2 linked regions of the Macaca mulatta genome follow. The protein of the gene in region 1 interacts with the protein of each later gene in a pairwise test. Links are inferred from orthologs where the notes say so. Each region holds a gene or a part of one and is shown in the gene's direction. Other genes may lie near its edges. The genes, in order: RPA1 and RPA4.

Region 1 (16,011 bases):
GCTACCCTGAAGGCCGAGGCAGGAGAATCGCTTGAATCTGGGAGGCAGAGGTTGCAGTGAGCAGAGATCGCGCCACTGCCCTCCAGCCTGAGAGACGGAGCGAGACTATGTCGCAGAACAAACAAACAAACAAAATGACTACATAGTTAAATCTATATACTTCTTGTTGCCTCAAATCAGGAGACATATGATGTCTCCCCAGCACTGTGGAAGCTAAGTTTGGTCACTCAGTTAAGGTGGTAATTGCTGAATCTTTGCAATGTAAAGACACCTTTCCCTTAGAGTTAAATAATCTATAGGGCCACACTTTGAGATCACGTGAAGAGCCTGTTTCCCAATGATGTTACGTCTACAAGTTTGAGCATCCACTGATAATTGCCAGAATCATCCATCACGCGGGGGTTACAAAATGGTGAGTTTTCTGATTCTACCATTATTTCTAAATTTATTAATTGGCATTCTTTTGTAAAGACAAACTTCCTCCTTTTTCTTCTTTTACTTGTTTTGTGTGAGCAATATTCACACAGACATAATATGTATCTACTTATTTTTGTTTGTTTTGAGACAGAGTCTCACTCTGTTTCCCAGGCTGGAGTGCAGTGGCGTGATCCTGGCTCACGTCAATCTTCGCCTCTGGGGTTCAAGCAATTCTTCTGCCTCAGCCTCCCAAGTACCTGGGATTACAGGCACCTGATACCACGCCCAGCTAATTTTTGCATTTTTAGTAGAGATGGGGTTTCGTCATGTTGGCCAGGCTGGTCTGAAACTCCTGAGCTCAGGTGATCCGCCCATCTTGGCTTCCCAAAGTGCTGGGATTATAGGCATGAGCCACCATGCCTGCTCAAAAGTCAAATAAGAAAGTAAACTCAGATATTTACAGTACCACTATGGACTTAAATAATTTACTATCATAAACTATTACCACCATTACACTTTTTCATGGTCAAATTATGCTAATGTTGGCCAGTGAGAACCTCTTCAGACTGGTTCCTATGTTATTTTTGTTTTTGATCTAGGGTCTTGCTCTGTTGTCCAGGCTGGAGGACAGTGGTACCATCATAGCTCGCTACAGCCGCGGCATCCTGGGCTCAGGCAATTTTCCCACCTCCGCCTCCCAAGTAGCTATGACTACAGGCATGTGACACCATGCCCAGCTAACTTTTAATTTTTTTGTGGAGACATAGTCTCATTATGTTGCACAGGCTGGTCTCAAACTCCTGGGCTCTAGCAATCCTCTTGCCTAAGCCTTCCAAAGTGTTGGGATTACAGGTGTGAGTGGTGTCACCATACCTGGCCTAGGCTCTTTTTTATAGAACTCTATTCGTCTTCGAGCACTTCCTTGTTTTCTGACACAAGTTATTCCAACTGAATCAGTACAAAATAAAAACAAGCAAGAAGGCTGTGAGTGTGGATAGTGAAGTTATGAAGATTTCCTGCGACACTGTAGGAGATTATTAATTGCAGGAGTGGAGAGGTAGGGGTGGACAGTAGGGGATCTTTGGTCTCAAAAGATTTTCAACAGATGAAAGGCATCTCTTGTGGGAAAACATTCCTCAAAGAATGTCCATTGGCAAGAAAGAAAAGTGCCTGCTTGGCTTTAGACTTTAAAGGGCCAATTCCTATTTTTACCTAACAGGCATGCATGTGGAGATCAGAAGTTTAAATCTTTTTTGGTTACTTTAGATTGTGATTGAACAGACTTAAAAACAGCTATTTGAGCGAACTTGTTTTTAAGGAGAGAGGGCTCGGTATGAATTAGTGAGAGACATATAGAGCAAACAAAAATGGAGGTGATTTATTAACCCCAGAGGAAACGAGAGCGGTACAACAAAGGAAATGTAATTCAAAGCATCCTTCGTGGTTCATGGGAGCAATATTTACACAGACATAAGAATATATGCACTGAATGTTGGTTCAATCAATTTAATATTCTATTGGTTATATTATAACAGTTATCATGAGGGAATGAGGGAAAAACAAAGTATAGGCCAGGAGTGGTGGCTCACGCCTGTCATTCCAGCACTTTGGGAGGCTGAGGCAGGTGGATCATCTGAGGTCAGGAGTTTGAGACCAGCCTGACCAACATGGACAAATCTCGTCTCTACTAAAAATACAAAATTAGCCGGGCATGGTGGCACGTGCCTGTAATCCCAGCTACTTGGGAGGTAGAGGCAGGAGAATCGCTTCAACTAGAGAGGCGGGGGTTGCTGTGAGCCAAGATGGTGCTATTGCACTCCAGGCTGGGCAACAAGAGCGAAACTCCATCTCAAAAAAACAAAAGCAAAAAACAAAGTATATGCCTGTGAGTTGGGGATAAGAGAGCAAAATTACATCTAAAATTATACAAACTCAAGAAAGAGCAGTGTTTGCACTGTTTAGAAAGAATAAATTGTCAGAAGGCTGAGCACAGTGGCACCCCTGTAATCCCAGCACTTAGGGAGACCAAGGTGGGCAGATCACCTGAGGTTGGGAGTTTGAAACCAGCCTGGCCAACATGGTGAAACCCCATCTCTACTAAAAATACAAAAATTAGCTGGGCGTGGTGATGTGTGCCTATAATCCCAGCTACTCGGAAGGCTGAGGCAAGAGAATCACTTGAACCTGGGAGGCGGATGTTGCAGTGAACTGAGATCGCGCCACTGCACTCCAGCCTGGGTGACAGAGTGAGACTTTGACTCAAAATAAACAAACAAACAAACAAATAAATAAATAAATGAAAAATTTAAATGCCAGAAGAAACAGTTAAAATAATTTAAAGTAGCTGTCTCTGGGGAATAAAAATCAGGAATGGGGAAGAGTGGACAGGGAGTTGCTGTTTTTCCTCATAAATTTTGAAGCACTATTTGATTTCTTTTCTTTTTTTTGAGATGGAGTCTTGCTCTATCTCCCAGGCTGGAGTGCAGTGGCGCGATCTCGGCTCACTGCAAGTTCCGCCTCCCGGGTTCACGCCATTCTCCTGCCTCAGCCTCCTGGGTAGCTGGGACTACAGGCACCCGCCACCACACCTGGCTAATGTTTTGTATTTTTAGTAGAGACAGGGTTTCACCGTGTTAGCCAGGATGGTCTCAATCTCCTGACATGGGCATGGTAGGCGTGATCCGCCCACCTCGGACTCCCAAAGTGCTGGGATTACAGGTGTGAGCCACCGCGCCCAGCCTATTTGATTTCTTAAAGTATGTACACATATTATTCTGATAAAAAATTAAACTAAGGAAGGAAAATATTTTCACTAAGGCATCCAGTCTACATAGTTTTACAGGATTTTTCTACTAGCCTTTAAGAACCACATAATTCCTACATTATATAAACGATTTCAGAGCATAGAAAAAGGCAGGAAGCTCTCCAAATTCATTCTGAGGCTACCATAACCCACCATGGTATCAGCTGGGATTACAGGCGCCCGCCACCATGCCCAGCTAATTTTTTGTATTTTTAGTAGAGACAGGAGTTCACCACGTTGCCCAGGCTGGTCTTGAACTCCTGACCTCAGGTGATCCGCCTGCCTTGGGCTCCCAACGTGCTGGGATTACAGGTGTGAGCCACCGCACCCAGCCAAATGATTTTAAATCGGATGACTTTTATTTTTTATTTACACCACCAATCACCAATTAGAAAATGTAATTGGGGGGAAAAGGCTCATTCACAATAACAACAAAAACCTTACAACGAGAATAAGTTGAACAAGAAATGTGTAAGACCTATATAAAGAAAACTATAAAACTTTACTTAACGATGTAAAAGAAGCCTTAAATAAATGGGAAGACATACCCTTGGATTAGGAAATTTGATATTGTCAAGATGTCAGGTTTCCTTAAATGAATCTATAAATCCAACACATTCTCAATCAAAAACCCACAACATTTTTTATAGAATTTGAGAAGTTGGCTGGGTGCGGTGGCTCACGCCTGTAATCCCATCCTGGCTAACATGGTGAAATCCCGTCTCTACTAAAAATATAAAAAATTAGCCAGGCATGGTGGCAGGTGCCTGTAGTCCCAGCTACTCGAGAGGCTGAGGCGTGAACCCAGGAGGCAGAGCTTGCAGTGAGCTGAGATCGCGCCACTCCAGCCTGGGCGACAGACTCCATCTCAAAAAAAAAAAAGGAACTTAATAAGCCAATTCTAAAGTTCACATGGGGGAAATGCACACAAAATACCCAAGATATTATTATTATTTTTTTTTGAGACGGAGTCTCGCTCTGTCACCCAGGCTGGAGTGCAGTGGCACTATTTTCCTTTCTTTTCTTTTTTGAGACAGAGTCTCACTCTGTCGCCCAGGCTGGAGTGCAGTGGCGTGATCTCTGCTCACTGCAAGCTCCGCCTCCCGGGTTCACACCATTCTCCCGCCTCAGCCTCCCGAGAAGCTGGGACTACAGGTGCCCGCCACCATGCCCGACTGTTTTGTATTTTTAGTAGAGACGGGGTTTCACTGTGTTAGCCAGGATGGTCTCGATCTCCTGACCTTGTGATCCACCTGCCTCAGTCTCCCAAAGTGCTGGGATTACAGGCGTGAGCCACTATGCCCGGCCAACAAAGAATATTTTTATAAACTCCCAAGTAGTTGGAATTACAGGCATATGTCACCATGTCTGGCTTGATTTTTATAAAGCCTTATCTGTCATTTTCCTTTTTTTTTTTTTTTTTGAGAAATAGCCTTGCTCTGTCACCCAGGCTGGAGTGCGGTGGCACGATCATGGCTCACTGCAGCCTTGACCTCCCAGGTTCAAGTGATCCTCCCACCTCAGCCTCCTGAGTAGCTGGGATGACAGGCATATGCCACCATGCTTGGCTAATTTTTCACTATGTTGCCCAGGCTCCTGGGCTCAAGCAGTCCTCCCACCTCTGACCCCCAAAGTGCTAGGTTTCCAGGCATGAGCCACCACACCCAACTTCATCTTCTTTTATAGCTTCTGGGTTATGTCTTGCTTAGGATGGTTTACTCCACCATCCCAAGCAAGGCAGGAGGATCGCTTGAGCCCAGGAGCTTGAGGTCCGCCTGAACAACATACTGAGACTTTGTCTCTAAAAAAATTTAAATAAAATTTAAAAATTTAAAACCTATATACACAATTTATATAGAATGTAAATGTACAAAATTTACATTGTAAATAAGGTAAAAAAGATAAACAGATTGGGAATAATTTATATAGCAAATAATAACTTACATAGCAAAGAATTACACAGCTAGATTTATGAAGATCTCCTACAAATGAACAAGAGAAAGAAAGACAACCCACTAGAAAATGGGCAAGGGACACAAAGAGGCTAGAAATAAAAATGTACTGGGGGGCCGGGTGTGCTGGCTCATGCCTGCAATCCCAGCACTTTTGGAGGCCAAGGCGGGCGGATCCTCTGAGGCCAGGAGTTGGAGGCCAGCCTACCCAACATGGCGAAACCCTATCTCTATTAAAAATACAAAATTAGCCGGGTGTGGTGGCATGAGCCTGCAATCCCAGCTACTCGGGAGGCTAAGGCAGAATTGCTTGAACTTGGGAGGCGGATGTTGCAGTGAGCCAAGATTGCCCCACTGTACTCCAGCCTGGGCAACAAGAGCAAAACTCTGTCTAAAAAAAAAAAAGAAAAGAAGAATAACAAAAGAAGTATAACCCTAATTGTACCAAGTATCTGAACTGGCAAGGCTCAAAACTGAACTCATTATTTCATTCAATTAATATCTGAGCACCTACTAAGTGCCAGGCACTGTGCCAGTTCCTGGCACAAAGATGTCAACCTTGAACTTTAAAGGTGTGTGTTTGTGGATCTGCAAATATATAAGGTTCTGGTTTATATGACATATTAAGCACTAATAAGAGCCAGTCACTAAACTAAGAACTTTATGTACTTTACCAAACTATCATTCAATTAATGTTTACTGAGCAATTGTTTTTTGACACTGCACTATTTTTGTCTATAGAAAGACAAACAGGCCGGGCACAGTGGCTCATGCCTGTAATCCCAGCACTTTGGGAGGCTGAGATGGGCGGATCATTTGAGGGCAGGAGTTCAAGACCAGCCTGGCCAACATGGTGAAACCCCATCTCTACTGAAAATACAAAAATATTAGCCGGATGTGGTGGCATATGCCTGTAGTCCCAGCTATTTGGGACGCTGAGGCATGAGAATCGCTTGAACCCAGGAGGCGGAGGTTGCAGTGAGCTGAGATCGTGTCACTGCACTCCAGCCTGGGTGACAGAGTGAGACCCTGTCTCAAAAAAAAAAAAAAAAAAAAAAAATTAGCCAGGCGTGGTAGTGTGCGTCTGTAATCCCAAATACTCGGGAAGCTGAGACAGGAGAATCGCTTGAACCTGGGAGGCAGAGGCAGTGAGCTGAGATTGCGCCACTGCACTCTAGCCTGGGCGATAGAGCGAGACCCTGTCTCGAAAAAAAAAAAAAAGAAACACAAACAAATACAAACATGGTCCCTTCCCTCATGAAGTTCACAATCTAGTGGCAAATGCAGGCATTAGTCAAAAGAGCACACACATATATAAAGGAAAATCACACAGCGTTGTAAATGTACAGAGTAAAGATGGCCCAGCTGAGGCTCAGTGAGAGCTTTCCTGAGGAAAGATCTGGCTAATCCTGCGGGATGACAGAAGTGAATTAGTTCACAGGACATGCTGGGATAGAAAGGAACCACGAAAAGCACTTCAGGCATTTTCCATCAAAAACAGATATTACGGGGCGGGGGGGGGGGGGAGGAGGGTTGGCATTAGGAGACACACCTAATGTAAATGATGAGTTAATGGGTGCAGCACACCAACATGGCACACGTATACATACGTAACAAACCTGCACATTGTGCACATGTACCCTAGAAGTTAAAGTATAATAAAAAATTAAAAAAAAAAAAAAAGAGATATTACTGGGCCAGGCATGATGGCTCACACCTGTACTCCCAGCACCGTGGGAGGCCAGATTGCTTGAGCCCAGAAATTTGAGACCAGCCCGGGCAACATAACAAGACTCCATCTCTATTTAAGAAAGAGAGAGAGACAGAGATTACTTCAGAGCAAATGACAAAACAGAACGTTTTTCAGGTCACAATTGCCTCGTTAACGCTTCCATGTACTTACTGAAGAAGTGAAGAGGAATGAAGAAAGATATCGCTCAAGGTCTCTGCTGTAGAAATGGTGAGCTGAATGGACTTCGGGAGTGAAGCCCACTTTTGAAGCAGGTATGATTTCCACTCATCCGCAGGCAGACCCATGCTGCTTTCCATCTATACAATGAGGAAGAAAATAGGAATCTCACAAACGCACGATTTTAGAAAATCAAGAGTTTGGCCCCGTGCAGTGGCTCACACCTGTAATCCCAGTACTTTGGGAGGCCGAGGTGGGTGGATCATGAGGTCAGGAGATCGAGACCATCCTGGCTAACACAGTGAACCCCGTCTCTACCAAAAATACAAAAAAATTAGCCGGGTGTGGTGGCGCACGCCTGTAGTCTCAGCTACTCTGGAGGCTGAAGCAAGAGAATCACTTGACTGGGGAGGCCAAGGTTGCAGTGAGCTGAGATCACACCATTGCACTCCAACCTAGGCAACAGAGGGAGACTCTGTGTCAAAAAAAAAAAAGGAAAATCAAGATTTCATTCAAGGAAGCCTAAAGCAATAAAATCAATTCTTGTGGTCTTTTCCTCTAGTTTACATGCTAAGGAAAGATCTATATTCTCTCACAGCAATTCACTCAACATCCTTCCATTCAGAAATATTTACTGAAAGACTACTTTGTGACAGGCACCATGCAGGTGATGGTTATACAAAGAGGAAGCAGACTAGATAGCTATCATCCGTGTCCTCTTAGTGTTTTTTTTTGTGCGTGAGACAGTCTTGCTCTGTCCCCCAGGCTGGAGCGCTGTGGCACGATCTCGGCTCACTGCACCCTCTGCCTCCCAGGTTCAAACAATTCTCCTGCCTCAGCCTCGGAGTAGCTGGGATTACGGAGTGCGCCACTACTCTTGGCTAATTCTTGTAGTTTTAGTAGAGATGGGGTTTCACCATGTTGACCAGGCTGGTCTCGAACTCCTGACCTCAGGTGATCCTCCAGCCTGGGTCTCCCAAAGCGCTGGGATTACAAGTGTGAGCCACCGCGCCCGGCCTGATCCCCCTAGTTTCTCAAGTCTGAAACCTGAGACACTTCCCCAGATTTTTCTTTCTCACCCACCCCAGCAACTATTCAATTAACAGGTATTTCTCTCTCTCATATAGTTCAGCGTTCTCTTTCAACCCCCAGGTCATTCCTTCGGTTTAAGTCCTCACCATCTCGTCTGGCATTCTTCCTAGAGTGTCATAATTAGTGTCCATGCCATTGGCACCCCCCCCAACTTTCAATCCAGCCTCCAACACTGAGACAGAAGTCAGTGCTCTGCCTTAAATTCATCAACGCTACTCCAAGCATATCAGGAAGCCCAGGACAAAACCGTCCTTACTTGACCCTTGGCTGACTTTCTAATTCTCAGGTCTCACTTGTTCCTCTGCAGCCTTGCATACTGAACTACTCATTGCGATCCCCGGCTTGCCAGGCTATTTCATCTCTCCAAGGTTTTGGCAGAGGCTATTCGTGCTTTCCGGACCAATCCTACCCTGGCTTATGGAGTCCACCTGGAAAATTCCCACAGGTTCGTTCTTCGACTCGGTTCAAACGGCACGTCCTCTGGGAAGGCTTCCCTGATTTCCAACACTCTTGGGGCCTGTACCACGTCTACCTGGCGCTGGGGCTACTCACGGCATAAAGTGCCCCCACACACTGTCCTCTTCTCCACGGACAGGGACCAGGTCTGATTCCCCTTCGGAGACCCCCCCCTCAACGGTGCCAAGCTCAGGGTTTGGCCCCGGTCGAGAAGTCAGCCCCGCGTTGCTGGAGGAACCGGGTCACTGCTGCGACTCCATTTAGCAGCTGAGGTCTCAGGGAACAGCTTTAACCTCCTCTGGGCTACCAACCCGTGCACTGGCCAGAAACCGAGGCGAGAAAGCCTCGTGAGCCCGCTCACAGGCGCCCGGAACTGGGCCGCGGACTCCCTCCCCGCGCCCGCGCAGCTCCTGGCGCGCCCCTCGGCGCCCCGCCCCGCGCCCCGTGTTCCGCGCCAGGCCTCCTTTGGGCCCGCGAGCAAGTCACGTGCGCCGCGCCTCGGCCAATGTGGCGGCTGCGCAGCGCCCGGGCCCGCCCCTGGGCCGCGCGCACGTCGGGGGCGGGAGCGGCGCACGCAACTCCTCGGGCCAATAACTGCGCAGCGCGCGGGACCCCGGTGGGGAAGCTCCAGCTGTCGCGGGGTCCGCGCGGGAGTCGGGGCGGCGGAGCCATGGTCGGCCAACTGAGCGAGGGGGCCATTGCGGTGAGGAGGTGCCGGGGGCCGGGCCGGCGGTGCGGGTGGCTGCGGCCCCGAGCCTCGCGGAGTGGAGAGGGGGAGGGGAGCCCGGGGCGACGGGGGATGAACGCGAGGGGAGGAGAAGGCGGGGGGCGGTGGGGACTCGCCGAGCCCCCGTGTAGTGTCATCACCCCCTCCTCAAAGCATTCTTCTGATCGTCTTTGAAACACGCTCACGTTTTTCCTACTTAAGAACAAAGTAAATAAACGCTTGCCTTTTTCTGGATCTTTCACCTGCGGCCACTTTCTGTTTCTTCTCCTTTCCTGCCCCGCAGCCAAACTTCTTGTCTGGTTTCAGCCACTTCCTTTCTTCGCCTCTCATCAACTCTTTAACCCACTCCAGGCATCCCCTTGATCGCTGTAGAAAACCCTGGCTCAAGGGACCAGTGTCCTCCAAGTTGCTAAATCCAGCCCTTTTCCGTTTTCAGCTTACCTGAGTTCTCAGCAGCGTTTGCTTTTGAGCCCTGCTTCTTCTGCTCACGCCCTCTTCCTTGGGTTTTAGTGGCTCAGCTTGGCGGGTCTATCCCCGTCTTATTTGCAGGCCCCTCTTTGTAAATTTTTGTTGACTCAAGGCTCCCTCTAGGCCCTCTTGACTCCCAAAGGCAATTTCTTTTTTTTTTTTTTCTTCCAGCCTGGGCGACACTCACTGTGTGAGTGTCACACTGTGTCGCCCAGGCTGGAGTGCAGTGGCGCGATCTCGGCTCACTGCAACCTCCGTCTCCCGGGTTCAAGCGATTCTCCTGCCTCAGTCTCCCGAGTAGCTGGGACTACATGTGTGCGCCACCACACTTGGCTACTTTTTTGTGTTTTTATTAGAGACAGGGTTTCATCATGTTGGCCGGGCTGATCTCGAACTCCAGACCTCCATTGTGTCGCCCGCCTCGGCCTCCCAAAATGCTGGGATTACAGGCGTGACAAATTTCTTTGTACTGAGCCACCTTTACTCTAAAAGACAAACTTCTATAATCTATCTGCTTATTCCATGCTTCAGAGGCTTTTAAGTTCAATATACATATCCCAAAGCAAATTCGTTATCTTTCTAAGTCTGGGCCTCTTGATCCCTATCTCCACGAATGGTACCATTATCTGTTCAATTCAGTGCTAACCAGAGATTGAGAAATCATTCCTCCTACATTGTCCATCACCTGGGCGTCCAGTTCCTCACCAAGCGAAGTGTATTGTACCTCCGCGTAGATCTACCAAGCCCACCGGCTTCTTTCCATCCATACTGGCACCATCTTTTTTTTTTTTTTTTTTGCCTGGGCTGTTCACTTCCACTCAGCATACGTTCCTGCCACCATTCCCATCCACAGCATACTCTCAGCCTACTCTCCAGTCACCCCCACATTTTTTTTTACATTTAGATTTCTGGTATTTTTCATACTCCTCCCTTCTTCCATGGGGCATTTGAACATTTTTTTTTTGAGACGGAGTCTCGCACTGTCGCCCAGGCGCCCAGGCTGGAGTGCAATGGCAGGATCTCGGCTCACTGCAAGCTCCACCTCCCGGGTTCACGCCATTCTCCTGCCTCAGCCTCCCAAGTAGCTGGGACTACAGGCGCCCGCCACCATGCCCAGCTAATTTTTTGTATTTTTAGTAGAGATGGAGTTTCACCGTGTTAGCCAGGATGGTCTCGATCTCCTGACCTCATGATCCTCCTGCCTCGGCCTCCCAAAGTGCTGGGATTACAGGCATGAGCCACCTCGCCTGGCCGAACATATGTGCCCTTGAGTATTACATTTTGTCGCTTTGTATACTTACTAGGGCTTTTCTTTTTTTTTTTTTTTTTAGACAGGATCTCACTCTGTTGCCCAGGCTAGAGTGCAGAGGCGCGATCTCGGCTCGTGGCAACCTCCACCTCCCGGGTTCTAGCGATTCTTTTGCCTCAGCCTCCCAATTACAGACGTGTGCCACCACGCCCAGCTAATTTTTGTATTTTTAGTAGAGACGAGGTTTTGTCATATTGGTCAGGCTGGTCTTGAACTCCTGTCTTCAAGTGATCTGCCCACCTCGGCCTCCCCAAGTCCTGGGATTACAGACTTGAGCCATTGCACCGGGCCGTAGTCTTTTTTTTTTAAATGACAGTCTCGTTTTTTGTCTCTCAGGCTAGAGTGTAGTGGTACGATCATAGCTCACTGCAACCTCTAACTCCTGGGCTCAAGTGATCCTCCCACCCCAACCTCTCGAGTAGCTGGGACTACAGGTGCATGCCACCGTGCCCAGCTAATTTTTTTTTTTTTAATTTTGTGTAGAGATGGGGTTTCACCATCTTGCCTAAGCTAGTCTCGAACTCTTGGCCTCCAAACAGTTCTCCTGCCTTGCCTCCCAAGTCTTTGGGATTATAGGCATGAGCCACTGTGCCTGGCCTTGTCCCTTAAAACGAGTTATCCATTTGTAAACAGCTGGTTTCTTGGGAGCATTGTCCCCATATACTTTTCTTTCATAAAGCATTGGTGATTTCACCCTTCTTCCACCCAAGCTTCACCTTGAATTTGGTGTTCATTGTTGCTTCCATTTTAGCAGAATTCGTGTTGCTCCCATGGGACTCTTTTCAAATTGATGTCTAATCCTTCTTAGTGCCTCACACTAGATCTTGTTCAGACACGTTATAACAAGTTAGTATGAGTTTATTTCAGTGCAAAATATTTTTGAAATGCATGGATAGTTTTTTCATAATGCACATTTTTCATGTACTTTTTCAATTCCTCTCATATACGCGTGTGGTTTTAAAATCAAACGGAACAGAAAAGTGTTTATGGCCGGGCATGGTGGCTCACATGTGTTAATGTCACTTGGGGAGGCTAAGGCAGGAGGATCCCTTGAGGCCAAGAAGGAGTTTGATACCAGGCTGGGCAGCATAGCAAGATCCTGTCTCTATTTCATTTATAAAGAAGAAAGAAAGAGGTGTTTAATGTAATTACTGACCTTCTGCCCTACCTTGTCCACTTCTATTCCACAGAAATAACTGCTTTTTAGAAAAATCACTGTCATTGACATTTCACTTACATATAGTAAATTGTACCTTTTTTTTTTTTTAAGCAGAGTCTCCTGTTGCCCAGGCTGGAGTGTAGTGGTGCACTGTCAGCTCACTGCAACCTCTGCCTCCCAGGTTCAAGCAATTCTCATGCCTCAGCCTCCTTAATAGCTGGGGTTACAGGTGCACGCCACCTCACCCGGCTAATTTTTGTACTTTTAGTAGAGACAGGGTTTTGCCATGTTGGCCAGGCTGGTCTCAACCTTCTGACCTCACATGATCTGCCCGCCTTGGCCTCCTGAAGTGCTGGGATTTACAGGCATGAGCCACCACGCCCAGCCAAATCGCACCTATTGTAAGTGTACAGCTTGATGAACTTTGACAAATGTACGCACCGCTGTAGCTGCATTGCCCCAGTGGAGATACAGAATAATCCCATCAGTGCACCCCACCTCCCACTCCTTCCTCACCTCCGTCCTCACCCGAGGCAGTCAGTGTTCTGGTTTCTCTCTGTAGGTCAGTTTTGACTTTCCTAAGACTTCATATAAATGGAATCAAATAATATCTACCTTTTTGTGTCTGGCTTCTTTCAGCAATTTTTTTGTTTTTTTTCCAGAGGTAGGGTCTCTGTCACCCAGGCTGGAGTACAGTGACACAGTCATGACTCACTCCAGCCTTGACCTCCTGAACTTAAGAGATCCTCGCACCTCAGCCTCCTGAGTAGCTGGGACTACAGATGCATGCCACCGCTCTTGGCTAATTAAAAAAAAAAAAAATTTTTTTTTTTTTTTTTTTTTTGAGACACAGTCTTGCTCTGTTGCCAGTCTGGAGTGCAGTGGCGTGACCTCAGCTCACTGCAACCTCTGCCTCTTGGGTTCAAGCGATTCCCCTGCCTCAGCCTCCCAAGTAGCTATGCCTGATGAATTTTTGTATTTTTAGTAGAGACGGGGTTTCACCATACTGGTCAGGATGGTCTCAATCTTTTGATCTCGTGATCCACCCACCTCGGCCTCCCAAAGTGCTGGGATTACAGACGTGAGCCGCCACACCCGGCCTAAAAATATTTTTTGTAGAGATGGAGTCTTGATGTGTTGTCCAGGATGATCTTGAACTCCTGGGCTCAAGTGATCCTCCCACCTTGGCCTCCCGAAGTGTTGGGATTACAGGCATAAGCCACCACTCTGGACCAAAATGGTTTTTGAGCTTTATCCATGTTAATTCAGTAATTTGCACTTTTGTATTGCTCAGTAGTATTCCATTGTGTGACTATAACAAAATTTGTTTATTATTGCACGTTTGGGTTATTTTCATCTTTTGACTTAAATGAAGATGCTATGACCATTTAAGTACAAATCTTTTTGTGGAAATATGTTTTCATTTCTCTGGGATAAATATCTAGGTGCATCATTGCTGGGTCATAGGTAACTGAATGTTTAAAAGAAATTGCCAAACTTTTCCAGTGTGATTATGAGAATTCTAGTTGCTCCATGTCCTTGCCAGTCGTCAGTCTTTGATCTTGAGTAGTCTAGTGAAAGTATAAAGGTATCTCACTGTGGTTTTAATTTGTATTTCTCTGGTGACTAATGAGCATCTTTTCATGGGCTTACTGGCCATTTGTATATCTTCACAAAAGAAATGTCTGTTCACGTCTTTTGTTCACCTAAAAATTGGGTTTTGTGCTTATTAAAGAGTTGTAAGAATTCTTTATTCTTGATGGGTCTTTTGTTAAATATAAATATTACATATATTTTCTCCCAATCTGTGACTTGCTCTTTCTTTTTTGAAATTTTCTTTTTTTGAAGTGCATTTTTAAATTTTGGTGAAGTCCAGGTTATCAGGTTGTGGGTTTTTTGTCTGTTTTTGTTTTGTTTTTTGCAGTCTTGTATTTGTGTGTCCTAAGAAATCTTTGCTAGGCTGGGCGCAGTGGCTCATGCCTGTAATCCCAGCACTTTGAGAGGCCATGGCGGGCGGATCACCTGAGGTCGCGAGTTCGAGACCAGCCTGGCCAACATGGAGAAATCTTGTCTCTACTAAAAATACAAAATTAGCAGGGCGTGGTGATAGGTGCCTGTAATCCCAGCTACTCGGGAGGCTGAGTCAGGAGAATGGCTTGAACCCAGGAGGCGGAGGTTGCGGTGAGCCAGGATCGCGCCATTGCACTTCAGCCTGGGCAACAAGAGTGAAACTCAGTCTCAAAAAAATAAAAAAAAGAAATCTTTGACTACCCCACCCAAGGTCACAAATCTTTTATACTGTGTTTTCTTCCAGAAGTTTTATAGTTTTAGCCTTGCCTTGTGGTCCATGATGCATTTCAAGTTTACTATTTTATCTATGATATATAGATCTTTTTTTTAATATAGATATTCAGTTGTTCCAGCCCTGTTTATTGAAAAGACTATCCTGTTACATTGAGTGACTTAGTCACTTTAGATAAAATCAATGGACTGTATATGTGTATATCTCTATCTCTGGAATGTCTGTTCTGCAATTGATTTCTATGTTGGTGCTTACGTCAATACCACATTGTCATAAAAATTGCAGATTTATAGTAAATCTTGAAATTTGGCATTGTAAATTCTGCAGCTTCATTTCTTTCTTTTTTTTTGAGGCGGAGTCCCACTCTGTCACCCAGGCTGCAGTGGTGCAGTGCTCACTGCAACCTCTACCTCTCGGGTTCAAGCAGTTCTCCTACCTCAGCCTCCTGAATAGCTGGGATTACAGGCCCCCGCCACCACACCCAGCTAATTTTGGTATTTTTAGTAGAGATGGGGTTTCACTATGCTGGCCAGGCTAGTCTCGAACTCCCAACCTCATGTGATCCGCCTGCCTCGGCCTCCGAAAATGCTGGGAGTATAGGCCTGAGCCACCGTGCCTGGCCTCCAGCTTCATTTCTTATTTTTATTTTTATTTTTATTTTTTGAGGCAGGATCTCACTCAGTCACCCAGGCTGGAGTGCGGTGACATACATGATCATAGTTTACTGCAGCTTTATCTCCCTGGCTCAAGTGATCCTCCCACCTCACCCTCCAAGTAGCTGGGACCACTACGCCCAGCTAATTGTTTTTTTTTTTTTTTTTTTTTTTTTTGAGACAGGGCTTTACTCTGTCATTCAGGCTAGAGTACAGTGGTGCCATCTCACCTTGACTGCAGGCGTGTGCCACCACACCCAGCTACTTTTTGTATTTTTTGTAGAGACGGGGTTTTGCCATGTTGGCCAGGCTGGTCTCGAACTCCTGACCTCAAGCAATCCTCCTGTCTCAGCCTCCCAAAGTACTGATCCCTTTGCATCCGCTGAAGTATAGAGAAACAAAGTACAATAAGAAAAGAAAAAGAAAATGAAAACAGATGTTTGTTTTGAGACATGGTCTTGCTTTGTCATCCAGGCTGTAGTGCAGTGGTGCAATCACAGTTCACTACAGCCTAGACCTCCTGGGCTGATTGTTCCTCAGCTTTCTGAGTAGCTGGGACTACAGGTAGGCACTACATACCTGGCTAATATATATATATTTTTCTTTTGAGATGGATTCTCTGTCACCCAGACTGGAGTGCCATAGCGCAATCTTGGCTCACTGCAACCTCCGCCTCCTAGGTTCAAGCGATTCTCCTGCCTCAGCCTCCTAAGTAGTTGGTACTATAGGCGTGTACCACCACACCTGGCTAGTTTTTTGTATTT
Region 2 (15,723 bases), on another chromosome or scaffold:
TCTCATGACAGTAATTTTCTGTGTAGTTTTTTTTCTTGTAGACTTCAATTGGTAATATGTAGTATCTTTTACCCTACATTTTTTTGTGCCATTAAAAAATATTTTTCAGTGCAAACTGCATTTTAAATTATTTTAAGTTTTATTATATAAATTGATTTTAATATATTTTTATATTTTTGATACATAAATTACATAACTCTATTACTCTGCCAGTAAGAGATGGCTTTCTTACAAAAATGGAGAGAAGCCATCTAAAGGTTCTGCAATATATAGCATTCTCTATTCCACCAAATATACAGCTATCAGAATAAATAAATAGATTCACTTGGATATGGCACGTATTTTGTGTCTCCCTTTCCTCCTTGAACTCAAGGAACTGATGATGATGAAAATGGCATTTTGATTTCTTATGTTTGAAAGCTGTTGGAGCCTCCAAGAACAACAGTGTGAACCTCTGTAGATATAATCCCAAATATGTTAATCTATAGCATTATATTTTCAGAGAACACAATGATAGATAAGAAACTCATTTGATTAAAATAGCCAAAGAAATGGACTTCATTAGGATTTATAAATCGTGGTCAATAACACTAACAAAATTACTGTTTTCATGAAAATATTGTCCATCCTATTTGAAAATGACATCCCTGATAGTAATTGCTATCTGTGTGCATGCTGTAGCTGAAAAGACTTGTGTACAATCAATAGTTCTGTCTAGTGTCTGCAGCAAGATACCTTTACAGCTAAGAACCATAAAGCCTTTTCTCAAATTGTAAGTAAATCTGTTTTTACATTTAAAAATGACAGACCATACTCAGACTAAGTCCATCTAAACTCAGAAGTGGTTCTCTCCACTGCAAACTAAAAGTGTTCTTTCTTAGAATATTGCTTCTCTGCTGTTGATTTTACCATTTCATATCAGAGCAAGGGGAATCTGTGACTATTAAACTGACTCAAACTACCTTTTGATTATTTGTTTACTGTCTTAAAATAATACAAGCACAGTCACATTGACTAGTATCTCCATCCTAATGATTTTCAAATTAAGGAATGGCTTCAAATTAGGAAAGCTCTTTGTTCACCTAGGTTTGGAATAGCATGATGTACGCTAATTGCTAACTTTGTCTGCATTATTTTTTAAAGATCAAATGGGCACAGTGGTAATTTTCATTAATCTCATACAGAGCAGCTAATTAAAATTTCCATTATTACCCATCCATTATCTAGTTGTTTCCTTTGTTCAGTATCAGAACAGGATGTTAATAAGCCATTCTTGTATTACAGCCCTATTAAGTATTATGAGAACTAATGTATTGCACTATTTTGTTTTTAGGTGATTTTTAAAATATTATCTTGCACCATATTGATTATGCTGAAGGTACTTTGACACCTTGACATTCTGTAATAGAGATTTCAGAATTAAATATTTGTTGCTTTAACATTTTATTCAAAATTGAGAAAAAGTAGTATATAGTAGAGAAAGGAGCTATCCAAGGACCAGAATATTTGTTTTAGTCTCATACTCTTAATAATTATGTGAACTTAGGCAATTACTTGGATTCCTCATTTTTGTAATGAGGGTATCAGAAGAACTGATTTTTAAGGGCCAGTCCAGCCTTAGCTTGCTATCATATTTTTATAACTTTCAAATATGAACTTATGTTAAAATCTCAAAGTCTTTCTAAGCTTGGTAAAAGGCGTCTGTTCTATAAAGTTGTATATTCTCTGTCATGCTCCAGTAGATTGTTTGCTTCCATTCTTTATAACCAGAGAGGATCCTAAATTATATAATTTAAGCTTGTTTCTAAGACTTGGGTGGGAGTGAGCCACAAAGTGATGAGCTGGCTCACTTGTCTATAAGGAGTACCTCGGCCATGACCATATGTTCCAATTAGACTAATCCTGTAGGGAATCAATTAGAAAAAGGGAACCAACATTTTCTGAGTAGATTGTTCTGTGTCCATGAGATGCCCAATATGAAATACCTCTGAGCTGTCCTCAGCATGCAATAGTGTCTCAGTTTACCTGTTCTATATTCAGCATCTTTGAATATATTATAACTGAATGTCTCAGAACTATAATATTCTGAAGCAAAACTAAGCTTAGAATCTTCAACAAGTTGAAACTCATCACTCATCCACCCTTTTGTTTATTCTCCATCCATCCATCCATCCATCCATCCATCCATCCATCCATCCAGGAAATATGTATTGAGTGCTTACTTAAACACTGTCTTAAGATCTGAGGATACAGTGGTGAACAAGGCAGGCAAGAATCCTGTCTTATAAGAGCTTGTGTTTTAGTGCGGAAGACAGTAAACAACTGAATTACAAAAATAAATTTTCATAGAGGTAAGATCGTAAATGATATTTAAAATGGTGTTGCGATGATAATTAGAATGTGAGGTGGGGAGAAGACTATGGGGCTGAGATTAAAACGATGGGAGCCAGCAATAGAGAGGTTGGGGTAAGGGTTTTCAAGGCAGAGAAAACTGCAAAATACAAAGGTCACTCAACAGGGTTAAATTCCATATACAATCCCCTAGGGGAGGATTAGTGGTGCCTTTTTATATATTAATTTAAAAATAACTTTGAGGATTATATGAAAGTGGTGTGTGACTACAGACTTGAAAACTTTAATTCCTTTTACTAGTAGTTTTCAGACTGGCATATGTAGTAAATAGATCCCTTGTTACTGATGAACTTTGTATTGCTCTAGAAAGTGAGTTGGCCGAGCAAAAATAAAACTATAATTTTGAATTTGCAAAATTATGCTTTAAATATTTACTTGCTGTTATTCCTTGTGGAATAATAGATGCGTAAGGAAGTTACAGGAATATGGACATGATCTCTCAGTGATGGTTTTACTTACTGTGCCATTTAGGTGATGATGATTCATCCAGTATACTTTTTTATTTGTGGAGGAGATGGAGTCTTGCTTTGTGGCTCAGGCTGGAGTGCTGTGGCGGGGTCTCAGCTCACTGCAACGTCCGCCTCCTGGGTTCAAGCTATTCTCGTGTCTTAGCCTCCCAAGTTGCTGGGATTACAGGCATGTGCCTCCACGCCTGGCTAATTTTTGTATTTTTAATAGAGACGGAGTTTCACCACGTTGGCCAGGCTGATTTCGAACCCCTGACCTCAAGTGTTCCACCCGCCTCAGCCTCCCAAAGTGCTGGGATTCCAGGTGTGAGCCACCGTCCCTGGCCCATCCAATATATTTTTAACATCTGCTGTATCTCATAACGAAGCAAGAAATACCAAGTCAGTGTCCATTATACAAAATATAGGAGCTAAAAGTGTGAAATTTTATTCCTTGTTCTGCAGTTATTATGGAGAAGTTCAATAATAACACACTTTTATTGAGGCTCACTAAATTCATGACCTGTGTTAGTTATGTGGCATAGATGGAGTTCCCAATGTAGAAGTGAGACAGACACAAATAATGACCTCTACCACAATATTTTAAGTGCTATAATAATGATAATAGTGCCACAGCTCTAAGGGAATAGAGTTCCCCTATATGTTATAAGCCTTTATCAGACTTAAAAAATTTAGCATTTAATGGGATTTTTAAAATTCAGAAATTAAGAATGATTAACACTTTCTACATTGAGGAGGTATTCTCAATCAAAACCCAAATAGTGTGAAACCATAGGGAACTCATTTCTCATTATTAACACTGTTTTTTTTATTTTAAATGTCGTATCCTCTAATGATAATACCTCTACCCAACAGGCAAAAATTCCTTTCCTTATAATCTCCGTATAATATTATATTTCTTATGATGATATATCATATCCTAATGATGTTATTTTATGGTAAGTATCCTTAGATGTTTAGCAGAAACTGAGTGTAATTTGTATGAACCTGTAAAATGGAACTCAAGCTTGGAGTCTTAATTCAGGGATATACATTTACAGTATAGGAAAGGGGCAATTATGATTAGGTAGGTCTAGAATGTGAAACTATGAGGTATTAGTATAGTGAATGTGTTGACAATGTTTTCCTCCCAGCCTTTTCCCTGAACTACTTATATAGTTATAGCAAGATGATGAAGTTAAGGAGCAGTGATGAGATGAGTTCTAGAAATAACTCCGTCTATATTGAAAATTAACTTAAAAACCAGTTACTATCAGATAAATGTATTTAATGACTTTTTATGATTAATCTACAACCTGAGAGTAACAGAAAGGAATAATTGGGAACTGGTGAATGCTTTCAACTGATTTGATTAATTAACATGCTAATTGGAGACTATATTGTTTTACATTTTAATAACTGTTTTCACTTATTTTTTTAGAAAGGCTGATAACTCTGATATCTTTCAGTAGATGTGGGTTATGTATAATGGTATATATTAAATTTTATTTGCTGGATTTTGTGGAATCGAATATACATATCTTAACTAGGAAAATTAATAAGAGGATTTTTGAATGCTTATCCTCTGGATTAAGGAGGACTAGCTAATATTAATTCTAATGCCTGAATTGTAAATTTAAGCACCCCTGTCAATGACACTTTGTGTAATTCAAGTTCATATTCTATTCAGGTCATGAGCACCAGCACTGTAATTTTTTTTTTAAATGAGGTCGAGGAAAATGTTGAGATATATACAACACAATTTTAACACATCAGTTCTGTGATCAAGAATTTTTAAGCGTGTAGCACTCTGCACACATTTTTATATAACAAAATAAATATTCTGTGCATTATTTTACTTAAAAATTTTTTAAAAAACATTGTCTAAAATGGTATCTTTGTTTATTTTTTAGGGTGGGCTGAAAAACAGCAAACATGAATGCACCCTGTCTTCACAAGAATATGTTCATGAATTACGATCGGGTATATCAGATGAGAAACTTCTTAATTGCCTAGAATCCCTCAGGGTTTCTTTAACCAGCAATCCAGTCAGGTAAGTCGTTATTATCATTTTGGTATGATTCATACAATTTGTAGTGTATGTAATTGTTTGGGAATATAATAAGTTTTGTTATTTAAACCTCAGGATTTTCTGACTAAAAGTCTGATGTTAATAAAGCAGCAGCATCTGATTGTGAAGTTGTAAACTTTTAAAAATATATTTAGTTGGATCTCCAGTAATGTACAATTTTAGGAATACAAATATTAACATAGAGCCAGAAGTTAAATGTCCACATTTACATGGAAATCTATTTGTGGGCTCAGATAATTATTATATATTTATTTATTAAGCAAATTAAGCATATTTGCTCCATGATTTTATTCTTCTTTGTGTGTGTGTGTGTGTGTGTGCGAGACGGAGTCTCGCTCTGTCGCTCAGGCTGGAGTGCAGTGGCACGATCTCGGCTCACTGCAACCTTCGCCTCCCAGGTTCAAGCAATTCTTCTACCTCAGTCTCCTGAGTAGCTGGGACTACAGGCGCGCACCACCATGCCCGGCTGATTTTTGTATGTTTAGTAGGGAAGGGGTTTCACCATAGTGGCCAGGCTGGTCTCGAACTCCTGATCTCGTGATCCACTTGCCTCGGTCTCCCAAAGTGCTGGGATTACAGGCGTGAGCCACCGTGCCTGGTCAATTTTATTCTTTTAAAACTTGAAAGGTATATATAACTTCATGTTCTTCTATAAGTTTTAGATATACTCCACATATTTCTGTAATTTTGAGATAGCAAAAAGTGAATTATTTTAACCAGTAAAAGAAATGAGAGCATTAATAAACTCCTCAAAACTCAACTAATTTAAGCTATTAACTAACTACAAAGGATTGTTAGGAGGTTACTTGCCAATGGTGGATTCCAGTAACTGTGGTTCCTTTATTAAGCCTTTAAATCAATAACACCCAAAATAAAATATTTTATAAAGAAAAACAAAATTTCAATAAAATATCAAAACATTCTTGGCCGGGCATGGTGGCTTACACCTGTAATCCCTGCACTTCAGGAGGCTGAGGCAAGTGTATTGCTTGAGTCCAGGAGTTTGAGACCAGCCTGGCCAACATGGTGAAACCCCGTCTCTACTAAAAATACAAAAAAGTCAGCTAGATGTGGTGGTGTGTGCCTGTGGTCCCAGGTATTCAGGAGGCTGAGGTGGAAGGATCACCTGAGCCCGGGAGGTGGAGGTTGCAGTGAGCCCAGATCCCGCCACTGCACTCCAACCTGGGAGACAGAGCCAGACCCCGTCTCAAAAAAAAAAAAAAAAAAAAAAAAATCTGGGATCTATTTGTATAACTGCTAGAAGTTCAGAATTTACTCCGTAAGAGTATATAAAAAACTTACTGTGATTTTATCCATGTTTTTCCTAATATGTAATAGGCGTAAATCTTGTACTTTTCTGTCCTTTCCACAGAGCCTTGAAAATAATTTAGAGCTCAGTCATTCAGTTTGGATTTATGTATAAATTGAAATATATTAATTACTCATTTATAGTGCACTTGGCAAAAAATACCTGGAAAATTACAATTTTAAAACAACAAAAAATTTTAAAAAGCCAGTGTTAAGATGTGACTTATCTTAGAGTATGATAATCATTGAAAGACGATTGTCTTGCTATTTCTTAAAAAATACTCCTAGGTTTTTTTTTTTTTTTTTTTGAGATGGAGTTTTGCTCTTGTCACCCAGGCTGGAGTGCAGTGGCGCTGTTTCGGTTCACTGCAACCTCTGCCTCCTGGGTTCAAGTGATTCTCCTGCCTCAGCTTCTCCAGTAGGTGAGATTACAAGTGTGCACCACCTCGCCTGCCTAATTTTTGTATTTTTAGTAGAGACGGGGTTTCACCACGTTGACAGCCTGGTCTTGAACTCCTGACCTCAAGTACTCCATCTGCCTCGGCCTCCCAAAGTTCTGGGATTACAGGCGTGAGCCACTGCACCCGGCCCAATGCTCCTGGTTTTAACGGTTTGAATGAACGGGGGACGTGAATTCTTGAGAACAGTAACCACGGTGGTGCATTTTTCCCCCTGCACATAACGTACAGCACTCTACCGTTTTGCCAAGCACTTCATGCTCCTAAAATTTCTGTTGCATTGTTGTTTGAATGAATGAATAAATGAGTCTTTTAAAAGTAATTGTAGAAGTTGTAGCATTAAGAAATGAAGAGGGGGACTAGTAAAAATGCATTTTTATAGAGATGTTGGGAAAGGCTTGCTTGAAATTACACGTGGGACTTTTACTAGACAGGCGCTTTGACCAGCTAAGCAACAGGGCTCCCCTCGTGTGGGGCTTTTAGAATGTAGCAACCACTGACACACAGGGAAGGATTATGCCGTCAGGTGAGAAGGTGGCCGACCCTGACTGGCTGGAAGCAGACGCATTCTGGTAGCTGATTGGTCCACAGGTGGCGTGAAGCTTGTCACGTCCTCAGGCTCCCAGCATTCAATCGTAGCCTTTCAGACAGCTTGAAGCCTTCTGTGGAGAGCTCAAAGCCTTCTGTGGAGAACTCAAAGCTGTCCGTGGAGCCCCAGACGAGCCAAAGCCCACCTTCTCCTCGGCCTGAACTGTCTTGAAGATGAGTAACAGTGGGTTTGGGAGCTATGGCAGCATTTCTGCTGCTGATGGAGGGAGTGGAGGCAGTGACCAACTGTGTGAGAGAGATGCAGCTCCTGCTATTAAGACCCAAAGACCTAAGGTCCGAATTCAGGACGTTGTACCGTGTAATGTGAACCAGCTTCTCAGCTCTACTGTGTTTGACACTGTGTTCAAGGTTAGGGGAATTATAGTTTCCCAGGTCTCCATCGTGGGGGTAATCAGAGGGGCAGAGAAGGCTTCAAATCACATTTGTTACAAAATTGATGATATGACTGCGAAACCAATCGAGGCCCGACAGTGGTTTGGTAGAGAAAAAGTCAAGCAAGTGACTCCACTGTCAGTCGGAGCATATGTCAAAGTGTTTGGTATCCTCAAATGTCCCACGGGAACAAAGACCCTTGAGGTATTGAAAATTCATGTCCTAGAGGACATGAACGAGTTCACTGTGCATATTCTGGAAACGGTCAATGCACACATGATGCTGGATAAAGCCCGTCGTGATACCACTGTAGAAAGTGTGCCTGTGTTTCCATCGGAAGTGGATGATGCTGGGGATAACGATGAGAGTCACCGCAGTTTCATCCGGGACGAAGTGCTGCGTTTGATTCATGAGTGTCCTCAACAGGAAGGGAAGAGCATCTATGAGCTCCAGGCTCAGCTCTGCGACCTTAGCCTCAAGGCCATCAAGGAAGCGATTGAATATCTGACGGTCGAGGGCCACATCTATCCCACTGTGGATCAGGAGCATTTTAAGTCTGCTGATTGAGGCAGGGAAAACATCCTTTCCTTTTCCAAAGATCCCTGCATCCATCTGAGAGTAATTTTGACCTGATGACTTTTTAGGAAGTAGGACTAAAAAAAAAAAAATCTCAAGTGGCATTCTTTGTCAACTCGCTGCTTTTCTAACTGCTTTGAACTCTTCAGATTTTCTATATTTGAAGCTCAGAGAGAGATGGTGATGGATAAATTGACAACTCTGTAGGATTTACTAGCAAGCTAATGGAAACATGATGACTTGAGGGGAAGAAAAACTACAGAAAATGTAGAAATGTATTATTTAATTGTGTTGGAGCTTCTTTTCCCAAAAAAAACCAAACAACAACAACAACAAAAAGTCTTGCTTGTTTTTATGTTAGAGTTATTTTCCATGTTTGGATTTAGCGTATAATGATATTATCTCTTGTTCAATATAGTATTTAGTACTTCATTAATTCAAATGAGCTGAAGATATTAATTTGTGAATTCTAATGCTCAGTTCAAACATTTATGTGTGATTTGCTCTCATTACTATGAATTTATGTTTTCTTAAAATAAGATTATACTATGTTTAAATAAATCATTTTTGCCAGGTTATCTTTGAATTTTTTTTTTTAATGTGGTGAAGTTTAATGATTATTTCATACATGACGTGGTATTTGGATGAAATTACAATTTATTGCACTTGCATGGTAAATGGATGCCAGAGTTTCTGTAAGTTTGATGTGCTGGTGTATTATTTATTTTACTAAATGCTCTGTTTTATGTATAACAAGGTAATTTTTAGGAGGTTAGGGAAGCAAGTCATGGGAATATGAAACTTCCTGAGTTTAACACAAATTTATTCAAATGTTTTATTAAAATAGTTTTATAAAATCTTAACTTTCCTGTGTGATTTTTTTTCTAAGTACATTTGAAAAAGCATTTTTGTTTTATATCCTTAAGGATTAATAGTTTTAATTATCCAGATTTTTTTCTTTTCTATATATAATACCAAGAACATATGCTATAGCCTAGTTCTAACAATACATTTTAGTGTAGATTATATAAATTATGTGAGACTTTTAAATAATTGACCATTAACGAAAGCCCTCACTTACCTATGCACTAAAGATGGTATCTTTCAAGGTGTTAAATATTTTACATTAGAGGAAAGAAAAAATATATACTTTTGAATGAATATGTATTGTATTTTATATAATATATGTATATTCATATATAATATATATTCACATAGAAGAGAAGAACATTATTTGTCTAATTGAATCATGAAAACTGAAAAAAAAAATAACTCTTAAATGGAGCATTGCCAGTAATCCGTACTTTCAGGAAAACTTTCAGAAAATGGCCTCTGTCAGTGGCCATTAGAAAAACTTACCACCAATTCTTGCTTAAGCTTTGTGATGCATGTTTTTCTTCCCCTTGAAAGTAATCATAAATGACACTCTTGAAAAACACAAATGAATAACATACTATAAACCTGTTACTTAAATTATCAGACATTGTGAAAATTCTGGTCTTCATAAACCTAAAATATTCGGAACCACTTTTTGTTGAAAAAGGTTACCTGTCCTAGGGAAAATCATATTGGGGGAGAGGCAACAAGGGGCATATATAATACTTAGAATTGTGGAACTGAAAGAAATAGTCTAGCAGATACAGTATTCTTTTGTGATATCACTTACCCAAATTCAGAAACCATGACATCAAAATCTGATATTTATGAGTATAATTATAGGTCGCTCCCATAATTGCTTGAGCTGACTCAGCTGGCCAGTGGATGGGTAGCCACTTTTTTTTCCTACTCTAGGAGCATGCCTCCAGAAGGAGGGGGAAAAAAACTCTTTTTTTTTGTTTTGTTTAGGAGGCCAAACTGCTTTTGTCCCTGCAAACTGATACATTGAGATTTGTACACCTGAATTTAAGGCAGAAGACCAGCCTCTCCCCCATCCTCTGAGGGGCAATGTCCTCTATCTGTGTTCCTTGGGGTTGTTTTAGGCTTTTAAAATTACTACTCCCAACCCTTATTCTTCTGAGTGGAATCATGTGCTTTAGTGGATTCTGCTGCAGGTAAGAGATAGCAGTGGAAAAATAGTAAGTAGGTCTAGATATAATGTCAGTGGAAATAAAAACATTTTTAGGCAGAAAACAATCACTGGATTGTTTTATACAAGCATATTTAGTCCATGTTAAAGGGTGCAGATTTTTAAAGTTCATTTTCAACACGCACCTGGCATGCATACTTTCTCAATTTTGTTCAGATTGGGAATGACTTGGCTAATATCCCCTTTCTCCAAGGTCCTGCCCTGATTGTTAGCCACACCTTTTGAGGATAAGATACAAATCCTGGGGACATACTATTGACTATTTTGGGCAGGGACATTGAAGCCTGAGGAACCTGAAAAACGTAATTGATGATTATAATCCACCCGAGGTTTTTTCCTATGGCTCACAGGCTTATGAAATATATGTATTTATATTGAGGTTGATTCTGAATTAACTATGAATAAATATATTTGAAAGTGTTTTCAAGGCCAATATAATAATCTTACTATGGTCATAATTATTAGTGATCATTTTGTTACTTTTACCTACTAAATTTAGTAACATTTGGAGTAGAGGCTGAAAAGCATAGATTCTTATATTTTTTCAATTTCTGTTTACTTTTGATAACAGCAATTTAAAAAAGGTAACTAGCAAGAATTATATTTGTTCATGAAACCTTTAGTGAGTTCCTACTATATGCATTTAAGTGTTAACTTTAATTTTGATGAGTTTAAATTTAATTGATTTCTGAAATGCTTATTAAAGATAGTAATAGTTAACATTTTAACATTTATTTAATATTTATTATCTCCCAAGTACTGTTCTAAGAGTGGGAGTTGTGTGTATGTGTGTGTGTGTATGTGTGTGTATGTGTATGTATGATTCCGGTGATGCCTAGATTTACATTTTCAGCACAGACCTCTTTTTTTTTTTTTTTTTTTTTTTGAGATGGAGTTTTGCTCTTGTTGCCCAGGCTGGAGTGCAATGGCACAATCTCAGCTCACTGCAAACTCTGCCTCCCAGGTCCAAACGATTCTCCTGCCTCAGCCTCCAGAGTAGCTGGGACTACAGGCGCCTGCCACCATACCTGGCTAATTTTTGTATTTTTAGTAGGGCGGGGTTTGCCATATTGGCCGGGCTGGTCTCAAACTCCTGACCTCATGATCCGCCTGCCTCGGCCTCCCAGAGTGCTGGGATTACAGGTGTGAGCCACCCACCCGGCCAGACCTCTCTCTTGAAATTGAGACTCCATTTCCAAATGTCTTATTGGATGATGTATAGGCATTTTTAATACATTAAAAAATAATGAAAAATTATGTGTGTGTGATATGTGTTTTTTATATATATGTGTGTGTATATATATGTGTGTGTGTATATGTATATGTATATATATGGCATTTACTATGTTGTAAGACCTTTAAATATACATATACAATCAGGATAACATTATTAGTATTGTTCCTATTTTGTAGGCAAACTTTAGGCTCAGAGAGGTTAAGTAATTTGCTCCATATTAAAGTTGCGTGACCAGCAAGTGTCAGTGTTAAGATTTAAGCCCAGGCTTTGTATCTATAGAGCCTAGGCCCTTAACAACTAGTTTGTACAGCGTCACAATAAGGAAAGTCTATTAAAATAGTATTCTTTCATTGTTGTTAGTATTCTTTCACTGTCGTCACATACTAAATATTTTGACTTTCTTTCCTTAAAATTTGTCTCATTTAAATGAAAAAAACTGAAAACTTTCAGCAAATGTATAGAAGATAATATAAAAACACCTTTGTACTCACCTATCAGCTTAAGAGACAAAACGTTATTTTTTGCTGTCGTAGAGAACTTAGTTGAATAACTTGGGTGATTTTTTTATGATACTGTAATACCATTTGGGACTATATTTTCATTGATTTAAAAGATCATCTGAAATGCTACATTTTCTCTAAATCTATGCTTGTAGTTTTTGCAATATAATATCTTAAGAATATATATCAGTGTATTGAGAAGCTTATTTTTTTTTCTGATCACATAGCTGTGTGTAAATTGGGACTTCTTTGCCCTATCTATTGTGGATCATACTTCTAGTAATTCTAACACTATCTCTGTGATATTTATTCCAATTTGCCATCATGTGATAAATTACAAAAACAATTTTTTAACATTAAGAGTTAATTTCCTCCCGGGCGTGGTGACTCACGCCTGTAATCCCAGCACTTTGGGAGGCTGAGGCAGGCGGATCACGAGGTCAGGAGATCGAGACCATCCTGGCTAACACGGTGAAACCCCATCTCTACTAAAAGTACAAAAAATTAACTGGGTGTGGTGGCTCGTGCCTGTAGTCCCAGCTACTCGGGAGGCTGAGGCAGGAGAATGGCATGAACCCAAGAGGCAGAGCTGGCAGTGAGCCGAGATTGTGCCACTGTACTCCAGCCTGGGCAACAGTACAAGACTCCGTCTCAAAAAAAAAAAGTTAATTTCCTTTGGTAATACCTTAAATTGGAGGAGTTTAATAAATAGCACTTAATATTTTATGTGGTTTGTTTTTATGTATCACATGGATAATCCTACAAAGGAATAACAAAACTAAATTCCCCTTGTCCATATGGGGCTTATACATATGTAGCTTACATTCTAGTACAGGAATTCAGACAGTTTTTTTAAAGGTGTATATCAAATGTCAGGTTGTGATATGAACTGAGGAAGAGATGTTGCTATTTTATATTAGATGATCAGTGAAAGCCTCCCTCACTCTGATGACATTTGCACAGAGGTCTAAAGGAAGTGTGGCAGTGAGCTATGTTCACCGGAGGAGGAATGTTGTTAGAAACAGAAAACAGCAACAGCAAATACCAAAGATGGGAGCATGCTTGGCATGTTCTAGGAATGTCAAGGAGGCTAGCATGCTGGAAGCAGATAATGTAGAGCCTAATTGACCATTCAGAAGACTTCAGCTTTTACTTTGAGTGAGCTGGGACACTGTTAGAGAACTTTGAGGAATGGAATGGCATGAGATGACCTACATTTTTAAAGGATAGCCCTGGATGGAAGCAGGGAGAACATGTTGTACGTTACTCAGGCAGAAGGTGCCACTGACTGCAGAGGTTTCTAGTTGGCAAAGTGACACCCCAGGATCCTGTGACAATATGATAAATCATTCTAGTTCTTGATCACTCCTCTGTGGTGACCTTGGTCCAGTCAATGGTCCTCAGTTTCTTCATATGTAAATGGGATTGGAGCCTTGCAACTCTAAGCCTCTACGTTCTATATTCTCTTTTGCTTAGTTTTAATCCTCTTACCTTTGCTATTGGAACTAGATTAGTGTTTAGGTATTGTTTTGAAGAGTGAGAAGTATGTTCTTCTATAAGGCTAGAGGATTTCCTAATGTTCCATTATTTTTTTGTATTTATAAATGTATTTAACCACCCCCAGACAGATATTTATAATTTCCTTTAAATACGGATGAAAGCGTTCCTAAAACTCTGTTGCATAACTGTTTTTGAAACCTGGTGTTCATTAGAACCCACGACGTTGTCCTCTCGTGGGTAATTCTCCTCCCTACCACAGTTTTAATTGGTTTATTTTTGTTCAGCCCCTCGTAAAATTCTAAAAATATGTATAAATAAGTGCACACACACACACATACACACATACATATACATACTAACAGTTTTACCAAACATCCTCAAAGCAGTCATTTTGGAATATTAAGTGGAGTCATGAATTTCAAATTCACATGGTATTTAATCACTCAGGTGATAAAGGCTCTAAGAAAGTCATTTTGGTATATTATTTTCTGCTAAAGCAAATACTTAAAATTCCCTTTTATAAGCCATCATTAACTGGTCCTATCTCAAATCACTCTGTTACTCTACATTTCCCTCAACATTTATTTTTTACTGTATATATTTACCAGTACCTGTTTATATTCTGTAATAGTTTCGTGTATGCATATCTGTTTTTCTCGTTCACATTTTAGTCTCCTCTGGGGAAGGAACCCTCTTACCCTCTTATTTGTCTCATGGTGGCTGGTGCTGTGTAATTTATATATACTAATGTGTGATTTGATGTGGTTATTGACCCACCATCAATAACAACCTCTGCTTTTCCAGCAGTGAGAATGAATTTGCATTAATCTGGCACTATTTTGTGGCCATGCATTTTTAGCTGTAATCAGAAAAAGAATGAAGCTAACTTCTTCCACATAAGAATGAAACCTTGGTTTGAATCATATTCACAATCCACAGACAGCATGGCATGCTTTACGCAATAGCCTTGTTACAATTGCACGGTGTATTAATGAAATTGAATGTTTACAACTCTATTTAACACTCTAAAAATCCATGTGCTTTGACTGTAAAGTAAATCCCAATCTGCCATCACAAATTGCATTAGACTTTGCACATACCATGGTCTATGTGTGATTTAGAATGAGGACTCCGTTATTTAGATATTTTTGTTCATACCTCTTTACTAAAGTTTATGAAAGGAAGCAGTGCCTGCTGAGAAATGGCCAATGAGTTTGGACAATTTTATTCCAAGCCAATTCATTGCAAGATGTATAGATATTTGGCAATACATTTTATGAAGATCCAAAGAAATATGTAGCAATAGATCATTGTCACTAAGGTTTCTCAGCACATGACAAAAACAGCAAATACTACTTTGAAGAATAGTATCACAGAATTGTGATTGCCTAGAATTCTTTTTAGAGTTGTTACTGAAATTGCCTCACAGCTTTAGGGATATTTTACCCCACTAGGAAATTGTTTTTCTGTTTGGTTGGGATCCACTTATCTGCCAAACTCATGGCGTAGTGTTTGTGTTCACATCCTATGATGGTAGCTTCCTCGGCCAATATTTCCAAGCCAGTGAAAACATAAAATATATTTTCGAGTTGATACATGTGCAGTTATTTGCATTACCTCTGGAATATTTGTTTTTATTGGATGCTATCTTCCTTTTAGATTTAAACATTTTTCTAGTGTATTAACAAATGTGCATTTTAACATAATTATCATAATGAAAATAGATGGATCTTGACAGCAATACAAATTAGGACTAGAAAGCACTTTCTGAATTATAGGTCTTAATAACTATTTAAACAACCTGTATTAAACTTATTAAAAGCTTGGCAAAGCAGCCAACAGTACTTAGAAAGTTAATATAAAGGTAGGTATAGATCAATACTCTTAGAACATTTTGCAGAGGACTAACTATGAAAGATGGAATAATAAGGACACTTTTTACAATGTGGAAATGTGAACACGGCTTAAAATTGTGAGCACATCTCATAAAGCAGCATTATGTGCGGTATTACTAAAGCAGGTTTTTCAATATTGGTATTTTGAATTTCTTTGCTTTAACTTTCAAATCCATAAATCATTTTAGAATAGCACTAGTATATTTATACACAGAATAGAAAATAGTAAACT

Evidence for each region.
Region 2: the proteins of RPA1 (region 1) and RPA4 interact in binary tests that used the Homo sapiens proteins (3 or more experiments, as listed by UniProt). The link is inferred for Macaca mulatta from reciprocal best matches to the Homo sapiens genes RPA1 and RPA4.

The regions. Positions count from the first base shown.
Region 1 is NC_133421.1:3,369,574-3,385,584, forward strand, and holds the start of RPA1 (replication protein A 70 kDa DNA-binding subunit), read left to right. Parts: upstream 1-9,210; 5' UTR 9,211-9,299; coding exon 9,300-9,332; exon of another isoform or gene 9,333-9,340; intron 9,341-16,011. Other genes in the region: protein-lysine N-methyltransferase SMYD4, read right to left, coding at 7,076-7,221, 7,306-7,347. UniProt on the Homo sapiens protein: As part of the heterotrimeric replication protein A complex (RPA/RP-A), binds and stabilizes single-stranded DNA intermediates that form during DNA replication or upon DNA stress.
Region 2 is NC_133426.1:103,833,001-103,848,723, forward strand, and holds RPA4 (replication protein A 30 kDa subunit), read left to right. Parts: upstream 1-6,553; 5' UTR 6,554-7,478; coding exon 7,479-8,264; 3' UTR 8,265-8,589; downstream 8,590-15,723. Other genes in the region: DIAPH2 (protein diaphanous homolog 2), read left to right, coding at 4,772-4,911.